4 linked regions of the Schizosaccharomyces pombe genome follow. Changing the gene in region 1 together with any one later gene gives a genetic interaction. Each region holds a gene or a part of one and is shown on either strand. Other genes may lie near its edges. The genes, in order: gsk3, set3, kti12 and ppe1.

What was found.
Region 2: mutations in gsk3 (region 1) and set3 impair growth when combined (synthetic growth defect), as found in Schizosaccharomyces pombe (one study listed by BioGRID).
Region 3: mutations in gsk3 (region 1) and kti12 together harm fitness less than expected from each alone (positive genetic interaction), as found in Schizosaccharomyces pombe (2 studies listed by BioGRID).
Region 4: of gsk3 (region 1) and ppe1, extra expression of one is lethal in a mutant of the other (dosage lethality), as found in Schizosaccharomyces pombe (one study listed by BioGRID).

What each region holds. Positions count from the first base shown.
Region 1 is NC_003424.3:928,042-932,769, reverse strand, and holds gsk3 (serine/threonine protein kinase Gsk3), read right to left. Parts: upstream 2,940-4,728; 5' UTR 2,832-2,939; coding exon 2,813-2,831; exon of another isoform or gene 2,765-2,812; coding exon 2,574-2,764; intron 2,093-2,573; coding exon 1,139-2,092; 3' UTR 573-1,138; downstream 1-572. Other genes in the region: SPOM_SPAC1687.23C (uncharacterized protein), read left to right, coding at 3,297-3,611; SPOM_SPAC1687.14C (calcium-binding protein), read left to right, coding at 4,327-4,557. UniProt on the Schizosaccharomyces pombe protein: Interacts with cdc14 which is thought to play a role in the initiation and completion of mitosis. Involved in the positive regulation of mis12.
Region 2 is NC_003424.3:5,039,007-5,044,664, forward strand, and holds set3 (putative histone H3 lysine methyltransferase Set3), read right to left. Parts: upstream 3,739-5,658; 5' UTR 3,476-3,738; coding exon 896-3,475; 3' UTR 540-895; downstream 1-539. Other genes in the region: etp1 (monooxygenase-ferredoxin fusion protein), read right to left, coding at 1-97; ribosome biogenesis protein rlp24, read right to left, coding at 4,791-5,225, 5,473-5,611. UniProt on the Schizosaccharomyces pombe protein: Transcriptional regulator that acts via the formation of large multiprotein complexes that modify and/or remodel the chromatin. Required for both gene activation and repression.
Region 3 is NC_003424.3:4,392,246-4,395,807, forward strand, and holds kti12 (elongator complex-associated protein Kti2), read right to left. Parts: upstream 1,713-3,562; 5' UTR 1,645-1,712; coding exon 1,473-1,644; exon of another isoform or gene 1,328-1,472; coding exon 654-1,327; 3' UTR 568-653; downstream 1-567. Other genes in the region: Sec7 domain-containing protein sec72, read right to left, coding at 1-179; tsn1 (translin), read right to left, coding at 2,462-2,496, 2,554-2,722, 2,765-2,847, 2,886-3,122, 3,171-3,246, 3,285-3,347. UniProt on the Schizosaccharomyces pombe protein: Elongator complex-associated factor that is not a structural subunit but rather transiently contacts the complex.
Region 4 is NC_003421.2:2,051,535-2,057,569, reverse strand, and holds ppe1 (serine/threonine protein phosphatase PP6 catalytic subunit Ppe1), read right to left. Parts: upstream 4,060-6,035; 5' UTR 3,953-4,059; coding exon 3,035-3,952; 3' UTR 501-3,034; downstream 1-500. Other genes in the region: heat shock protein Ssa2, read right to left, coding at 1-327; SIN component scaffold protein cdc11, read left to right, coding at 5,018-6,035. UniProt on the Schizosaccharomyces pombe protein: Has a role in chromosome segregation. May provide a dynamic connection between kinetochore microtubules and kinetochore chromatin. Negatively regulates mis12.

The sequences.
Region 1 (4,728 bases):
GAACGATAAATCCAGAAAATTTGGAAGTCTCGCATCTAGTCATTCACTCCTTTCTTTTCAAATGACTTGTTTTTTTTGCTTTGCAATTTCTTACCACCTCCCTTTTGAAACGTTGTTTGTTCAGTTGGGTTGATTGGTACTATCATCTCACAAATAATTTACTTCAAATACACTCGTTTTTGCTGTTCACGTCGTTGTAGTTGTTTGCTAGTTTCGTATACGAAATGAAAATTTTGCTCTTATCTTTACTTTTCTATTTTGAAATAAAATGAATGTCAAGCTTACACATGTCATCGACACTAATTTTGATTTGCAATAACTAGTAACTATTCGTTTGTAAACCACTGCTAATTAATCAAAAATTACCAGACTCCTTTCCATTTATTGACTTAGTATGTAATTAGATTTACATGTTTTTCTATTTCTATTTACATATTGATATCTAACGTTGCCAGATGATTTCCTAGAATTTTGTACCCTTTTGATGTTTGCTATATCTTAGGTAGTATTGAATCATAATATTACTTCGCCTCACCAGCTTCTTTCATGTAGTCTACGAAGCAAAAACTTAGTAATGACTCTACCAAAAGAATTTTTAATGAGGACAAAAAAATGAATTAAACAATAATAAAAACAAAACATTCTTTTGAAACCTAACCATAAAATATTAATTGAATCAATCACAAACATTTTACTAGTATAAGAATTATGATATATATGTATATATGAGATTCTGCAGTATACTTTCCAGAATGAAAGAATTACCGATTACATTTCTCATCCAATTAAAGTTTTAAAGTCGCTGAAAAACTTTCAGCAAACTAAGATGGTCTACTTATGACTCCTAAAATAACAATTAAGAAAATAATCGTGATCGAAAAAATTTAGTTCTCATCAAAACAAAATTCAGGTTTGATTTATTCAACACCAATAACGACAAAAAAAAAGTGAACGAAAAGAATATCCACACAAGTAGACCATTGTAGAATCAGTATAGATAGCGATTGGTATATGTACGCACAACAAGGCAGATTCACTGGCTATATTAATGCGTAATACAACAAAGAAGTAAAATAAGTTTGGTGGCAAAAATGGATATACAAGAACTTTAGAAGATGAATGCATATACCCGTTACATTTAATCAATTCGGGCACGATGAATTGGAATTGGAACAAAATCATCAAGTTTCACGGGTAAAGCATCGCGAGCATGGGACGGAATTAGTTTTTGGTTAAGGTCAGGACGAATGGATAGTTCGAAGGGGGAAAAATTAAACAATTCGGGTAAATGACGAGGAGAAGCATCGGGATTACGAGAGTTATGAAGCTTAGTATTAGGATCCCGAAGCTCATCAAAAAAGGGATGGCACATTGCCTCAGCAGCAGTAAGGCGATCAGTAGGTGTATATTGAAGCATTTTTGATAAGAGATCCAATGCATCAAGGGGAACACTTCGAGAAAACACTCGTGAAAGAGGCTGTGGACGTATTTGTGGGAATCGATGTTCCATATAATTAGGATTCATAGTCTTTATTTGTTCTCGACTAGGAGTACCGAGAATTTTGATAATCTCTACCAACTGATCAATGCCACTTTCACCGGGAAAAAGAGGATGTCCAAGCATAAGCTCAGCCATCACGCATCCAGTAGACCAGATGTCAATAGCGTGAGTATAATCAGTAGCTCCAAAAATCAATTCTGGAGCTCGATAATAACGAGAACATATATAAGAGACATTTGGTTCACCAGCAACCAAGATTTTTGCGCTACCAAAATCACAAAGCTTTAATATTCCGTTTTCCGGATCTAATAGTAGATTTTGAGGTTTGATATCACGATGGCAAATACCGCTAGCATGAATGTAGGCTAAAGAACGCAAAAGCTGATATATATACAATTTGACTTCCAGCATTGGCATAGAAAGTTTTTGACGAGTATATAGACGAGAAGCACGATAAATCGTTTCAGGCATAAACTCTAGAACCAAATTTAGATAGACTTCATCGGAATTATCACCGGTGGTATAATAGTAGGCAATTAAATCGACAATATTTGGATGCTTCATAATTCGCATAATTTGTAACTCCCTATTCTAAAATTAAGTGTTAGAAACAAAGGTTCATTGGAGAAGATTTATAATACTGAGTTTTTTTATAAATCTAGAAAGAAGTGCAAAAAATGGAGGAGGGAAAAAGGAAAAATATGTTCAAAACGAATACACTAAATTTTCAACGCATCCAAATACTGGCTAAAAAAAGCTTGTGTATCGTACAATGGATGCAAAAAAAAAGCAATAGGCATTTGAGTTGTACAATTTCATGACAACAGGTATGGTAAGCCTGTGGACACTTCAAAGAAGAGAAAGCACAAAAGCAAGTAATGTTTTAATAACACTACTCTCTTACCATTTATGGCATGTAGACGACCAATCTTTTGTAAATGAATCTTACGTATATTGACGAAGCACGCGCGCTACGTATCTTCAGCGTAAACAAAAGTGTGCGGTTTTCACAGAAAAATAAAGTAAAATCTAACCCTTCCTTTCGCATTTTGCATTCAATAAAAATACATACCTTAAACCGTTTATCTTGCAAAACGCGTTTTATAGCGGCTTTGCTGTCTGATTCAATTAAATGAACCTGCATGACCACGCCAAAGCTTCCAGAGCCCACAACTTTACTCGAAGTGTAAGAAAGTTGCTTCACCTCTCCCGTTGACCCATCACGAGCGGTTTCCTTTATAATACGAAAGGGGTCCACAGGAACTATTTATACGGTTAGAACAACAGCACTATCGAAGTTAGCCAACTTACTTTTAGTACCATGATTCATTATGGATGATGATACAGAAATGTTAAATTACAAAATGAAAAAAAAGCTATCAGAGGACTTAAAAAGGAGGTTTTCTTGGCGTGATGAACGTGGAGTACGGGTTGTGGTAGTGGAGGAAGTTCTACCATAGAATAATCTCTGGGGTATAGTAGCATGATACAAAGTGCGTACTTCTAAGAGGTAACATTACGGGACATGAGCAAATCATAAAACTGTAAACTCTCGGCGCAAGTATCAAAGAAAAGAGGGTTCATTCTTTCCTCTTATTTATTACAATAACCATAAAAAAGTACGTATATTAATGAAAAATTCGTGCTTGAGAAATTGAATTCATGGTTATTAACCATCTTACGTATACGCGATTATCACATTGTGAGTTTTAATTCCTCCAGTCCGTTATATTGAATAGTGTTACCGAATTTAGAGTGATATACTTTGAAACTGCTAGAGCAAACACTGAATTCGATGTGGATTTTAGAAAAGAAAAACATATTTTTTAAAATAATTCACATAAAATCTAGTAGGAAGTTTGACTTTTCAAATGCCATCAGAATTGTGCTCCTACCTTTCAGTAGCAACTGCTGTCGCAATTCATATACAGTAAATAATGGAACATTCACAGGGAGACAAATTTATACTAGCATATGCAAATCGCGTATCCCTCCCTGTCTCAAAGGAAAAAATGGAAAAACTACGAAATCAGAGAGCGAACCAATGTCTCAGAAGCATCTCAAATATGTTAAAAAATACATAAACAAAGTAAGAATCCTTAAAAAATGAATGTGTATAAATAATGTCAAACATTCATATATAATATATAACACGAGTATTAGTATGCCACACCGCTAAAGGAGATTATGCTTGATAGCCTACATCATTAAAGCCATTTTGCAAGTCGATCTATTAACTCATCAAAAATCTTGTATTACGTGTTTTGTTATTTAAATATTGCGCACAACCTTAGCTTCGGTCAATTTATTATATTAGCTAATAACGCCTTAGTAGGTTGGCTTGGCACGTAAATAAAGTCAATTGAACACATTTTATACATAAATTTTGAGATTTCCAACTGTCTCTTCAATATCCTTGTTGATTTGGCAGTTTTAGAAAAAAAAATTCAGCTTAACGTTTTTATACCATATATTCATTAAGGTCAAGTTTCGTCCACTTTATCGCACCACGAAATTTCCATTTGTACCACCTTCAAATTGCATCAAATAGCCTGATTACTTAGTATTTAAACGCAGTTATTCCACTTTTGATTGTCTATCTGTTCATATTATTCCTCCTTGTCTTTTCGTTTGGATTTTTAACTCACTTCTAGTCTTTTTTTGATAACTGTTGAACAAATTATATCTCTTCTAGCCATCGGACGCTGATTTTCATTCCTTTCTTTTTTTTTACTGTTATTTCGTTCATTTTAGCATTTTTGGCACTATCTCATTTGTTTGCATTTGCGTTTCCTTGTTGAATAGTTTTTTAGTTTAGGGGAACCATGTCTGTCAGTACTAAACGTCTTGAAATGGATGAAGAAGCAGAAGAGGCTTTTGATCTTTTTGACGTGACACACAAAGGGTACATTGACTTTGAAGACCTTCGAAGATCTTGCGCTCAACTAGGGGAAAATTTGACTAAAGAACAGCTTCAGTTGATGCTCGATTTAGCTGGCACTAATGGTAAAGTATCGCGTGAAGAATTTGCCGAATTGTGGATTCATATATCTTGAGATTGTTTATCAATGGAGACAAACTTCATTTTATTTATGGGATTCATTCTCGCACTTTAATGACTTAATGATGATGGACTTAGTGTACTAAAAAAGATTAAACAATATTTCCTCGTGTTTTCTTTTTGTTTTCAAGCCATAGATGCCTGTTTTATATACTTGGTTGTAGGT
Region 2 (5,658 bases), 4.1 Mb from region 1:
TCCAACTTGACCTTCCAAGGCAAGAAATGTCGCAGCCTTTCCGTAAGGGCTGAAGCAGGAACTGTCTCATCAGACCTGATGAACGTGAAATGTTCATTGGTAATTGTTTACTTTTGTTTGCGTTTCGCTTAAAAAAGTAGGTTCATGGAGAGAGAGGAATGGTACCTAACCTCCCGGTTCTATACCACAATAATCTAACGGCGCACTTTCAGAGTCGCTATAAGTAGACAAGCTATATTAACGTAGGCCGTTTGATATATACAAGATCTGAGTGGATCGTCGATGAATAGTTTAATTTGATGCGACAATTCGCTGAAATCTGCACGTAGCATATTTGAATCGATGTTTATATTTATGATACTTAATACTCAAAATGTACTAGCTTCATTTGCGTATCCAAAAAGTTATTTAATCTAGTACATGTCGCATACGGAAATAGCTGACATCTTAAATAGTTAGTTCTTATAATCTTACGAACCGAAACTTCTATATGACAAACATAAATCATTTAACTGCTATAAATTAATATTATTATATTGTACAATGTTCTAAACGTGCAAATTAGGAACAGAAAAATGCAACGACTGAGGGTTCGTTGCTCTGAATCAAAAGAAACTAAAAAAAAAAAAAGGAACTAGAGTTTTCGCCCAAACACTTAGTCATTAAATATTTACAAACGAAGAAGAAAAGAATGCAGAAGCAGGTGACAGTAAAATATGCTCCGAGTACCAATCATCATAATAAAAAAATGAAATGAAAATACATATGAAGGTAAAAAGATGCAGTCATCGTACCAACTTTAGAATCGTGAAAACTTGTTCGTATACCATATCCAATAAAAAAAATCATCCACACATTTATATGGTTTCAAGATTTACAACATCTTCTAGAATTTTTATCGCGTAAATGAAGGGTTAGAAACTGTAGCAGCAGGAACGGTGTGAGGCCTAGCTGTATCGCCATGTGCTTGATTATCCTTCGACTGTTGATGCAGAATGTTTTGTTGACGTCGTTGTCGATACTCAGAAAGAGATAGCTTCTTCGGTGCTGAGGTAGGAAGAGCAGAGGCTGAAGTGTTACTAGGCTTGACTACACTTCCTTGGACCAGATTCGAATTGGGCTTGTTTTCGCTTCTTGAAGTATTTAACGCATTCGAGATATCATCACCGTTGTTGGCTTTGTGGTCCAAAATGTTTGGATTGTTCGTAGGAAATTGGTTGTTTACCAAAGCATGGCGACTCGTTATAACTGGTGCTGGAGCTGTCGGCAAAGGAGGCGTAGTTACAGGAGATTTATCAAACGAAAACCCGACAGGACTAACCGAAGGTGAATGGGATCGAGTGCCATTCTGTCTAGAAAAGTTAACGTCAGAAGACCTTTGAGTGTCGTGAACATGCGATTTATCTTTTACAGTCCTTAACGTATTAAAAAACATGGACCCACTCTTTTCTTTACTCGACGGCTCGAGTTTCAATTTTGAATCTGAATTTCTATGGAAAGAAGGATGGACCTTATGTGGTCTGTCACCTTTAGTCTTAAAGGCTTCCGGCTTCCTTTCGATAGATAGCGATCTTTTATTATAATCAGGTTTGCCATGAAAATCATTTGCAATGCTACGGCGTCTTTTAACTGACGGCAAATGATCAACAGAACCATGCTTTTTGTGGACTGTCGTAATAGTTCCTAATCCTCTTTTGCAAGGAGAAGTTTTGTCCAGCATATCTGGGCTTGTTCGAGGATGTTGTAATGGTGAGGCTGATCGCCTACTTAGTGATTCTCCAACATTAAAAGATGGAGGAGTTGTAGGGGTTATCGAGGATTCTTCAGGTTCCTTTGCTTTTTTCAATGGACCATCGGATTGTAATGCAGCATCGGGTGAAATGGGCGATAAGACGTCTGCAATGCCCACCTTAGAATCAGTGTGTAAATCAGCAATATCAGTTTTCTTGTCCCTATTAGAGGAATCTTCCTCAACAGAGGGTAGTGGAGATTGTAAATCTTTAGTTGGTTTTTTCTCCTTCACAGATGGCTGTAACTTCGGCTCCATGACTACATCGATTCCTACACTTTCTGTGGGTAATGACTTAACAGCAGGCCATTTTTGCAAAATACTAAGACGGTACTTATCTAACCAAAACTCTTTCAAGGATTTGGCATAGACCGATGTGGGGTTTGAAGGTTGCGGTAATGATTCAGCAGGGCTAGGGGTAGAAGGGGTTGAGGAAGGTGTCAGAGACAAACGGTCTTTTGCTACACTGACACGGTTTGCAGTAGAAGCGCGGCGGGCCGCTTTAATATATTTAGTAACTCTGGAAAAAACACAGTTTTTCTTATCCTGTGAGGCACATTCGTTAAACGACAGGAAGGTAGAAAGCACTTCTGAAAGTAATTCCAACTCTTCCATATTGAAGGAGGGTCGCGACATACCAGGCGCAAACTGGCGAAATGGATGGGAAATATCGAGAGTCCAATCCCCAATAATCTCTGTTTCCGGAGCTATGTGAGTAGTTGAATAGAGGATAAATCGAGGAACACTGTTAGACCCATTCATGTAAACACTTGAAACGACGGAGTTTGACTGACAACCTTTACGCGCAAACCTCGCTTTTGAACCAGCAACCCGTGAGTCAACAACAAGCTGAGAATTTGAGTCAAAAAAGACATGTGGCTTAGGAGCCCCCAAAATATTGTACTGGTTTTTGGGATCACTTTTGTATTCATTCTGCGTACAAACCCTTCCTTTCACCTCCATAATGGGTGTATTTGGAGGAATTTCGCAAGTTGACACCAAACCAAAGCGACTACAACAAAACTTTGAAGATGATATAGGTACGACTTGGCATCCATCCATTAAAACTTCGGATTCATCTAAATTCTTTAAATCCAAATTCTTAGAATACTCAAGCGCAGATGCAGAAAAGGTGTTTGATTCCAAAGGGACGTATTCCAAGTGAAACGAATACACATATTCGTTAGAAGCCTCGGTGATTGGAGCCTCTGGTGGGTTGTTAAGGTGGTTGGATCTTCGTCTGCGATTCTGAGAATGTGGAGCATGAGCATTGGGCAATGTTGCACCAGTCACACTGTTACGATAAGACCCCGAGTTCGAAGAGTTGGTAGACTGTGAAAATAAAGCGCCATTAGCGCCTGTGTTATTGCCTTGTCTCGGTGACGCAGAGTGTGTAGGACTAGCACCATTTTTGCCAAAACTAGTTCTTCTCTTGTTGTTGGAAGAACGGGATCGCGATAATATCCTAGACTGCTCTTCTTCGCGCTGTAACCTAGCTAGTTGAATTTTATGCGCCTTGTCGGCATCGATAGGACGAGGTTGGCATTGTTCACAAAAATATTTTTCAGGAACATTATTTGCATCTATGTTTACACAAACGGCGTGTTGCCATACCTCGCAACTTTCGCATTGGATGGTGAATCCGTCATCATCCTCGAATGGACAAACGCATCGTATTTTCCACATGCTAACTTAACCAAAGAGAAAACGATCAACTTATAACAAAGTAAAGAAGTATTTCATAAACGCTAATTTCTGTACAGGAGCAATTTAACCTTGGAAATTACTGCTTTCTTATGAAAGCAAAGATTTTAGCCCCAACTATACCAATGGCTATCTCGATTATCTGAACTCTCCTAAAACTAGGAATCTAGTATATAAATACTCGAAAAACCATGTAAGTTGAACAAATACTCTGTTTTCAATTTGCATACGCGATTTTGGTAGTTGATACGACGTCGCGATTATTCCGCTCTTCAACATTTCCATCCACCGAGTGTAAACACACGTCCCATAAACCACGTTTCCGCAGTCTAACGTCTCCTCGGTAAAAACAAAGAGAAGAAGATGTTGAAGAATAGTTCATTTCTCTATGAAACTTCTCATTTTACATATTTTAGAAGGTAATAAAACTGTCAAGGAGTTTTTAATGAGTCTTGCTAAGAAACCATTTTGAAAAAAAAAAATCATCTACTAAGACAATGAGTTGAGATAAACGGCAGGTGCAATGTGTCAGTAGTTAGCTAATGTATGGTGTTAGTGAGTGTGCGCAAGCAATCGAAAACGTCAATAACGGACTCGCAACTCTAAAGAATTAACAACCTTTAGCATTGGACTGTAGGGTTTAAACAGCTTTACAAGGAGAGGGATCTGTTTTCATGAGTTCCACAGTGATATGAGACTTGAATAGGCTTGTCAACTATAGAGAAATGTATATGCAAGGAAACCAGCATAAATGACAAAGTCTTTACTGTTTTATGACTTACTAAATATACCTCATGGAGAATTGAATCCAAATAATGAAGCAATGTTCTATCGTTCTAGTAGAATTTTACATTTCGAAGAGGCATTTGTGATAAACGAAACTAATAATATAAACCAATTTATTCCTAAACAACCATTTTTCAAACTGTTAGACTGTTGTATCTTGTACAAGCTCCAAACTGAAGATAGGTTCGTTTACAAGTATGTATACACGAAAATCCATTATTAACCATATTAATCTGCACGTAGCATGCAAGTCCAAAGAAGTAACCAAACGAGAAGAGAAGCCGAAACCAAATGCCAACTTTAGATATGCAAGATAAATTTTAAAAAACACGTTTTCGAAGTGTCTAAAGAGTTCGAAAGTGTAAGAAAACCACTCCCCAAAAATGTCTTCTCTTCTACTATTTTGTAAATTTGAAAGGAATAAAACAATAAAATAAAATAAAATAAAAGAACGAAGCGGGACGCAACCAACGGAAGATCGAGAGTTACATTTTTGTAGGAAGAAGAGTGTTTAGTCCATTTGCATGGCTGAAGATGAGTTTCGAGATTTCTTGTTTTTGCGTTTTTTGGCGAGGACGGGAATCTTGACAGGTTCTGCAACTTCTTCTTCCATGGTATACTCCTCGTCGGAAACAATTTGGGGTTCTTGTACCTCAGCAGTTTCAACCTCACCTTCGGGTTCGGTAAATTGAGGAACATTTTGAGCAATGAGTTTTTGAGCTTCTTGAAGCTCTTGGGCACGTTTGCCAGCCAATCTCTTTTTGTAAAACAGACGCTCTCTCTTGGCATGAACTTGGCTAACCCGTTTCATGGCATTCAAAGTAGTTGCAATGACATTACGGTCGTAACGAACAGGAACATTTCTACGAGCTGCGGTAACTGCGAGAGCTGTGTCATAAACCATTTCCTTTCCATGTGCCTTACGGTACGCTTTGGTCCAAGCAACCTAGACATTGAAGTTAGTATACATACATATAGGTGGAAGCAAAACATTTAAAAAAACAATAGAAAACTTTCTTCGTTCATGGGCATATAAAGGAAAAAGTACACCATTTAAGGTAGAATTTGAAGAAGAAAAGTATCATTTCAAAACAAGGCAACAGAAAAAAATTTTTCCTCTTTCAAAATCAATCATCTTCCTCAACCAAGTCTGTATAACGTTTTTGCATTCCTTTATTATAAAAAAAACATACCTTACGAGGATTGCGCTTCATTTTGAAGTTCTTATGGCACTTGCTGCGACAGAAACGAAAGACCTTGGAGTCATTTCTAACAAACATTATTCCATGTCCTGGGTAAACAGGACCCGAGCAGAAATAGCAAGTATGTACCCTAAATTTCCGTTAGTAATAAATACTTTGAAGGCATTTAGCTCTACA
Region 3 (3,562 bases), 3.5 Mb from region 1:
GAAGCAACACGACCGAGATCCATACCATTTTCATCATCTTCGTTGTCAGAATCATTAATAATTTTAGTAACTGATGTTGTTCCAACTTCTGGAAGATCTTCGTGTCTGTCATGTTGCTCATTCACGGAGTTCATAGGCAGAGCAGGCATATTGATCACAGGTTCAGAGGCATCCTGCATTTTGGCATCGGTCACGTTCAAGCCAATTGCCGTCTAGACGAGCCAACTTTTAGCAATGAAATATAAGGCGGAGTATGTCTTTGCTAAGTGTTTTCGGCCTTAATGTGTCGAACGTTAGATCTCGGTTCAATGTGCTACTTATATAAAGCAAACGAGCGAGACTTATAATAAATTGTTTTATTACAGTATGGATTAAATAGTAAACATTATAACTAGATTTATACAATATTCGTTGTTTTACTGAAACTTTTATTGTCGATATTGACCGTGAACGTTTTCTTATTTCTTTTTTACAGGACAGCATTCCTTAAACTGTAAAAGGATTAAGGAATTAAACAAAATGTACGATTTCTACCATTTTAAACATGTTCTAAAAAAAAGAAACAAACAAAGTTAAGTATTAATATTAGGCTACATTTTTTCGTCCCCTTAAAAATCCCAAAAAAAAATATCATAAAGTTTAAGAAAAGGATATCAGTCCAAGGTTTCAAATTGACCATTTAAAAATTCGACAAACATTTCCTTGAGAACATTGGTATTATATGATTGTTGCCGGTTAATTTGGATAAATTGACGGCGCAATCTTTGAAGTAAAGGAAGAGATACTGTAACACTGGGTAATGCGATTTGAAGTTTGCTCCCTGGTACAGTAATCAAGGAGGTATCGTTGGAATTATCCAGTATAAGCATGATTACGTCTTGAGTAGTTTTATCTAATTCATATAAATAGTTGACTTCAGCTGGAGGTTTTACCATTGTAGCTTGGTTAGGCTTGACATTTTTGTTATGAATAAGAACTGACCAGATGTCATCGATAGGACAAGAAGCATCATCGTGCAAGACAGTAAATAAAGGGGAATCCCATCGTGTCATTCCATTCGGTTCTTCATAACGAAACATTAATTGCTCAAGAACATCGTCAGGATACGGCTGTTCCTTGTTACTATTGAATTTTCGACATAAATCTTGAGGAACAGCAACATGAATCACACAATGAGTTGTGTACATAGACTTTGATTCACAATATAACTGGTATCGAAATCCTTTTATGTAATTCAAGGCATCGCAAATTACGAATGTAGATTTTGAAAGTTCACGCTGAACAGCAGAATAGAGAAGGCCACGAGCGGCCTTTTCGTTCTTGGACTCTAAGACAAATTAGTTACCAGAATTACGAAAAATTGCATATACGGATTCTCCCATCATCTAGAGTAGCTGGGCACAATCTGAAGCCAAAAATGAATTGGCTAATTTCCAAAAACTAAATCATTAAAGATAACTATTTAAACATACCTCGATATGTTTCTTTTTCAATGTTTAAACTCTCATCGTTTATTATTATCACCCGATAATCCTTTGTATTGTCGATATTTTGATGAATTCGATCTTCTAAAGCCTTTTTAAGTTCATTTGACCTCGTTGTTTTCCCTGAAGATGGATAACCTGAAACAATTATTAATGGCATTTTCTTTATGTTCTACAAAATAGAAGGTTGAATAAAATCAGCCGTAAAACATATGTTTGAAAACTTCCAGCTTTTTTTTGATATATTTTTTCATGAATTTAACGAAAATTACTAGTTCGTTAAACATTAGTAAACAGTTAATTTTTATCCTTAATTTGTATTTCGTAATGCGCTCAATTTCGGTACTGACTTATTACTTACGACTAGTAAGTATTGCTTAGGCTTAAAAACACAGTAATTTCAATTTGCGGTCTCTTTAATTTAATCTTGCTTCCCTTTACCTTATCAATTGTTCTAAAAGAATTAAGGATTAACACTAGTAAGACCCCGGATTTTAATCGCTAAAAAAACATGCACGCCTTCTACGCAATCAGGGTTGTTCAATTTAAAAATAGTAATCATTTGTTGAAAGATTTTAAAGGTGCATAGGACATCAAGAAATATAAGCTAAATGCAGTTGATTAAAAGTTAGAAAAGTATCTACTTATGCCGCCATTAACATGTATCTGGTAAAATGCGACTAACTTATAACACATGTTGTATACCAGTCCAATGATTAATTTAGTACCCTGGAAAACGTCTTGAATATTGGGTAAAGAAAAATCAGAACTTAAAGAAACCTAGGCTGAAATATTTTTTTTTTAAATAACTATTCAGTTTGCCAGAGAGTGTAACAAAATTAAAGAAAGAGAAATATAATTGCATTCATCATAGGACTGCCAGTTTCATAGCAAATAAGCAGACCTAATATTAAAAAAGCAATTTTATCGGCTCAATTTTAGTCAAGCGTACAGCTGGCAAATAAATTGTTAGCAATTTAAACCAATTTATGTATCCGAAGATCATAAACAACTGCATATGTCAGAAATAAACTATCAAAAAAAAAAAAAATCCACGTAAATTTCATACCGTCCTCAGATCTTTTCAAATCATATTTTAATCCATCGAAATGTCTTCTTAAGGAGTCGTTTTTCAAAGAGAGTACTTGAAAAGAAGAATGAACTTTTTGAATAGTATTTAGGGCCTCAAATGGAATATGATAGTTTCCAGATATTACTGAGTTTACAGATTGACGAGCCTAGAAATTGTGTCAATTTGGATTGTTGAATAGAATATATACCAGTTCAGAACACAGAGATAGTACTGCGTGCAAATATTGCTCAATTGAAAGATGAAAAGTGGACTCTTCTGGAAAAACCGGGACTGAAGATTGTGAGAAAAATGTAAAATAATTTACGCACCTTGCAAAATTTGACCAACTTCGGAAAGCGATAGAAGGCTGTACGTGGGTCTTAAACTTTTATCTAAACGACCGGTCCAGGAAGCTAGCAAATATAAATAAACAACTTTCTGAATTGATCGATCCCAGACTCCGTTATATTTATAGTATGGAAAATTCGATGCCAATTCTGCTAATCCTCTGGTTTTGCTTTTAATGATCTCAAGAGCTTCTAAAATTTCTTCCTGATTTTCTAAATCTTCCAAAGTTAGTCCATGTTCTTTTTCTTGTAAATTTTCATTTCTACTTTGTTCACAGTTTGCCAAGAGAAGTTGCAAAACTCTTAACTTTTCGTCTAACAAATCGACCTCTGCAGTCAGTTTCTGTAATGTTAGTTTGTCATAATTTCCAAGATTAGTACCTCCCGAATACTATGTTCTTTATCAATTTGATCTTGTAGCTGAATAAATATTGATTTATTCATTCGACTTAATCTGTAATGTATGCTGTTGAGTAGTGTTGATATTCGAATGATGTTTTCAGTATGCAAATAACACGACCGTTGTGATATTTATCAGCCAGATTATACCAACCTTTTTCTTAAGTCGTAAAATAAAGATAATCAATTTAGCGGGTATTTTGCAAGTTATTAACTAAAATTATTACTAGCTGCTAAAGAAACGCTTGGGTTGTTTAGAT
Region 4 (6,035 bases), on another chromosome or scaffold:
GGTCTCACCCTTGTACTCAACCTGCAAAACAGGCTTGCCATCCTTGGAGATGACCTTGAAGGGCCAGTGCTTCATGTCAGACTGAACCTCAGGATCATCAAATTTACGGCCGATCAAACGCTTGGCATCAAAGATGGTGTTGTGGGGGTTCATGGCGACTTGGTTCTTAGCAGCGTCACCAATGAGACGCTCGGTATCGGTAAAGGCAACATAAGAAGGGGTAGTGCGGTTACCTTGATCGTTGGCGATAATTTCGACACGGTTGTTGGAAAAGTGTCCAACACAAGAGTAGGTAGTACCCAAATCAATTCCGATTGATTTGCTCATATTGATGTGAAAAGACAAAAAACAAATAAAAAAGACTAAAGTTTATTTGGGGATTATAAAAAGGAACGTGGGATATAAATAATTTAATATAGCACTCCTTATTTAAGATGCAATAGATAACTTTCTTCGTTAACTTCCTATAAGGAAAATGATTTATTACTCCTTAATTGATATTAATGCAAGTAATAGGAATACACGATGTTGGGAGGGTGGGATATTCATCGTATTTATTACATTAGGCTACGGTTCTCGAAGTTTCCCAAAACCCTAACCCTCGCTCGTAAAGCACCTTACAGAACGTTTGGGTAGAACAGTAGAGAATCTTTCGAACACCGTACGTCATGATGAAGCAGTTTGGTAAAGAGCGAAAAAGGAAATCGAACAATCCGTTAAATTATTTAACGAACTCGAAAGTCCTGGAAGAGCGTGGAAAGAGCCGGAAGGGATACAGAGGACAGCGCATTGGAGTGCAATAAATGCCCAGAAGTCTTAGAAATCGTTAAAAGAAATTACGGTTGAATACGAGATAAATCAGTAAATGGAAAGATGAATAGTGGAAGGAGCTTCACTAATACGACCCGTTGAGTATTAACACTGAGTCACTCTACTTACTCTATTTATATTGGCAGGTGCAATGAGTTTAGAAATTGGAATCAGCATGTTTTCTTTAGAAAGTATTTAGGGGGTAATTTTGAAGAAATAATAAAAAATGAAACGTTAAATGTTTTCATAAATCAAATGAAAGAAGCATCGTTTTTGATGCATGTAACATAGACATGTTTTACAGTGTTGCACTTAAATAGAATGGGAAATGTTCTGTAATATCCAAAATTTCATGGTTTTGATTTACCAGCGCATTACTAACGTTGTAGAAGGGGATTCGTAAAAGTTATATATAGTTAAACATGAAAATTGTGTGCGATAAAAGCCCTATGCGAAACATTAGCTCACTAGACACACAGTCATAAACACGATCACAAGTCCGGGCAGTTTGATTGAAAATGGCTCGTTTCAAACTATTTTAAATTATTTACAAGAATAAACAACCTTTGTAGAACACAAGTGAAAAGGATATGGAAAGAAGCTTGTAAAACAAGATGCAACTGAAAACGGTTTTACTTCAATGATAGCAAAGACATTTAAGAAAATGAAAATAGAAAATAAATGAAAAAGATCATAGATCGATGAGCGTTTGCAAATTTCGGAAAGCCCAATTTTCTTTTCAATTCAACAAAACCCTAGAATTGGGGTTAGAAAAATATAAATTGTCCGTTTGCTTTTACCAATTTTTTTCAACAAACAAGTTTAACTGAATTCGAATAAAAAGATCCCAATTCTCGCAATATCTCTCATTTTCAAATAAACCAGCAAATCCAATATCAATGCCACTTGATAACACACATAAAACTGATCATTTTAAATCCAGCATTCAGACGCAAGAAAAATGCCATGTCCTCAACGGAAAAAAAGAAAAACCAGGCCATATTCAGAGAGGTCATAAAAAAAATTTCAACTCATCTCATCACTGTATCGAAGACATCTTAAAAAGATACATAAAAAGCTTTATATATTCTCCATGTATGCACTGTATAACACAATTTGGGATAATCAGAGTACATGAAGACAATTAGTCTCTTTCAGGCATCAATTTTCGCACGCTGAATATCCCTCCTCTTCTTCTCGTAGACAAATTTATCAACTTCAAAAACAAACAAACCACTCCTTCTTCTTTTCGTAAATAAGAATGATTTAAAAAAAATACAAATACTACGAAATCCGGTCAAACGAACAAAAAATTGTGCAATGATCGAACAGGTGCTTATTAAAACTGCAAATTATGTTACTGACTGACTTTCCTTAGCAAAGCAAGCGACAATTTGCAAAACATTATTTTACAAAGGTAAGTAGAAAGTAAGAGAAGCGAAGCATGAAACAGAAACGATATATCGGCAGAGATATTATCAAGAAAATTTGTCCAAAGAACTGTACAGATATAATAATGCATACTAAACTTATATATAAGAAATTGATTATCAAAAATCACCCTTGCTTGCTTAATCTTAACTGACAAAACTGAGAAAAATCATGATATACATATCATCGTACTAGATGCCAAGAAACCCCAATTAAAGCAAGCTCGACGCAAACCCGAGAGGAATTATGTATAACGTTCTTGACAAAAGAGTGACAAGGCAAGCACTGCAACATGCGATTATTGGCTTTATGGACGCGTAGTAATGGAAACAAAAATTATGGAGAAGGGATCATTAAGAATTTTTGGGCACTAAGTAACTTTATGTTGCTGGAACAGTGTGGTAACGCAAGTCAATGCTATTGCGAAAAAAAGGTTAAGGGAATATCATCACAATGTGAGGTGAAATAAAATTGCAAACACCAAGTCGCTTTTTTGAAGGGAAACAATCTAAACTATAGCGACTGAAAATAGCTAGGAAAAAAAGATTAAAAAACAAACCCATGTAACTTATAATATCGTTTTGCGTAACAAGCTGCCAAGGAAAAATAGAATATACCTCACGCGCAAAGCAAACGGAAATAAAAATATGGAAGTTGAGAACTGGAAGAGAGAAAGAAAGTGTCGGACAAGGAAGTAAAAAAAGCTACGTTTTAAAAAACAAAAACTATTACATGTTTGAGGGGGTATATGTGTGCCATAAAAAACAAGATATTTGACTTGCACATACCAAAGTTAGATGAAATACTCGCTTCTTTTTCTGCTAGGGGGAACGGTACGATCTTCGTCGGCAACAGCCGAGAAAATACGAAATTCCGGTTCCAAAGATTCATCTACTTTCATAACACTTGCCACATTTCCACATCTATAGCAGTAATTGGGAGCACTCCAAACGGTAACAAGATTTTTATCGGCAAAATGATATTTGTAGCCCTCTTGAACAAGTTGATGAGCACGAGCAATCAATGTCAAGTCGTTGATTTGACTAAATTCGGTAGTAACTTTAGAACCAAACAACCATCCAGCTCCCCGAGGCGAAACAGTCCAAGATTCAATATCCTCTGGATCAGACCACATCAAATCGCAAAATGAGCCTTCATGGGGAATTTCTTGAGCACGCGCAAGAATACGAATCTGATCCAATGTGCGAACTTCCGGAGATAATCCACCATGCACGCATAAAATTTTGTTATCGATAACCGCTGCCAAAGTCAAAAAATCAAAAACTTGGCAACAATATTTCCAAACATTTGCATTTCCATATTTGGTTTGACACTCATCATAAAACCCGTAGACTTGAGTGATCTGGCGACTTTCGTGATTACCACGAAGCAATGTAATTTTATCTGGGTACCTTGCTTTCAAAAGCATAAATAACGTAAAAGTTTCTAAGCTAAAATAACCTCGATCCACAAAATCACCCATAAATATATAATTTGTGCTTGGCAATTCTCCACCTACTCGAAACAGTTCCAAAAGGTCGTAAAACTGACCATGTATATCACCACAAACAGTAACGGGAGTCCGCACAGGCTGGATATTGGACTCCTCCATTAAAATAACTTTTACCATCTCACACAATCGTTTCAACTGGTGTTCTGGAAGATATTTACACTTCCTTACTGTAGCGATCCATTCATCCAAGTCAAACATCGTTGTAGCACAAATTATTCAAGGATCTCTTCTAGATTATTAAACACAGTTATTTCTCAATACTTTCCTATTTAGAAATTGGCTTCCTAATTAAATATGTTGTTTGCGGAGAGTACGTAAGTTAGTACGTTGAATACTTAAGAGGGGTGTTTAACGTATTGTAACGATTAACGGCGTACCAAGTCTTTATCAGATATGGATGTTTGGTACATTCAAAAGTCGTATGAAAAAGTCTACATGTGGAAATGACCTTTTATATACAAATTTATATAGTCCGCTGATTAAATTGGGATGTCGTCGAACACATTTTATCCTTATTGCTAACGTCAAATTTTGTTGCAAATTTTCTTAAATTACCGAGGTGGGATTGCTTTAAATTATAAATACTTGTAGAGTTTTAAACGATTGAAAGTCTAGGTCATGAGGCGAAGATGAGAGAGTAGCATAACGAGAAACGTTGTCTGTAGAACGACAATAAAAGTGTCGTTTCCATAACCTTTAAATATAGTAAGCGAATTTAGGATCAGTTCGAAGATTGTTGCAAGCGTAGATCCAACTTGTGAAAAACTTGCTTACTAAAGAGCTTTCAAAGTCATGAAGAATATATGATATCTTGTTGATATAAATGGCATCTCCGTCGTCAAGTATGCGAAACCGTAGGCAAAAGAAAAATCGTACAGAGAAGGTTACCGAAGCAATTGCTATTAATTGTTTTTTATCGAGTCTTCCGAGTTAACAGAATAAAGTGAATCTCTCATGCACAAGTTTATCAACTCTTAGAACTACTTATAGCTTTGATTTTTTCCTCAAATACTTATGGCCATAATTTTCCTTCTGAATAAATAAATTTACTGGAATTCAACGTAACAAACAAAATAACGCTATACCCTTATTGTGGAAAATATCGTAAAATATGATAAGCAGCATTACGAATACGCTTGAATATCCTATGTCAAATTGTGCAAAAGGGTGATTGAGTCCCAGTACCACGACATCCCGTCGCGTCTCATAGACGTAAACAAAACTTCTTTTTTCTATGGAAGGTATGTGTGCTTTTCAGAAATCATGGAACAGTTATGGCTTGAACATGATTTAAGTGAAGAATGGATTCCGCAGCCACAAGAACAAGGGTCAGACAATTCTAGTGAACCACCAACCACATCAAATGTAAACAATACTCAATCTACAGGTCGTGGTAGTTCAGGAACTTCGACAGAGCATGGAACGTTTAAGAAAGGAAGAAATGATGCTCCGGATGTTCCTCAATGGAAACAGGTGAATGCAAAGAACCCTGTTGCTCGTGATATTTTTGCAAGGTTGGATTTGGAAAATATGTTTGAAGAAAGCAGCAAACAAAGCCCCCCTTCAAAGTCTCCAACAAAAAATCCGTCCAAAAAGTCCAGTAATAACTCTTCTAGGCGTAGTTCTTCTTCAGTTGGTAAACTATCTAATGTATCGAACATGCAATCTTCTCCTTCTAAAGATCCTTTCGTTTCACAGGATTACGAAAAAGAATCTATCTCCTCTTCTCAGTTTAGCAAAAAATACTCAGAAGGAAGCTTGAAAAGTCAACAATCTAATACCAGGTCTAACTCGGTTCACGAAAAGCAAAATACGGACCATGCTAGCAATGCATCGTCATCCTCATCCGTTGTTTCTTCTCCCTCCTTGAAGCCCAATAATACATCCCCCCTTAAACTTTTCCAAGGAGCTAGTGATCCGTTTACTCGTGAGCATTTGAATCAATTAACTCAAGATGTAAAGTCCAATTCATTTGAAAATGGGGAAAAACAATTTTCACTCCCTGAACCACGAAGACCACAAAAACCTATGCGTACAACTGAACGAAAGGCTAGCCTCAATACCAAAGATCTCTATCAAGAGGTTGAAGAAGTCATGGCAAGATTGCGAGGAAGAATGCCTAATTCGGGACGAGAATCTACAATTTTTCTTCCTCGAAAGCTCAGCGGACTTCGTGAGGAGGAGGAACAAGATGAAATTTCAGTTGAAGTAAGTCAAGAAGATAGCTCTAATGCATTTCCCTCCTTAAGTGATCAACTTCATTTAAAAAGTCTTCAAAGTA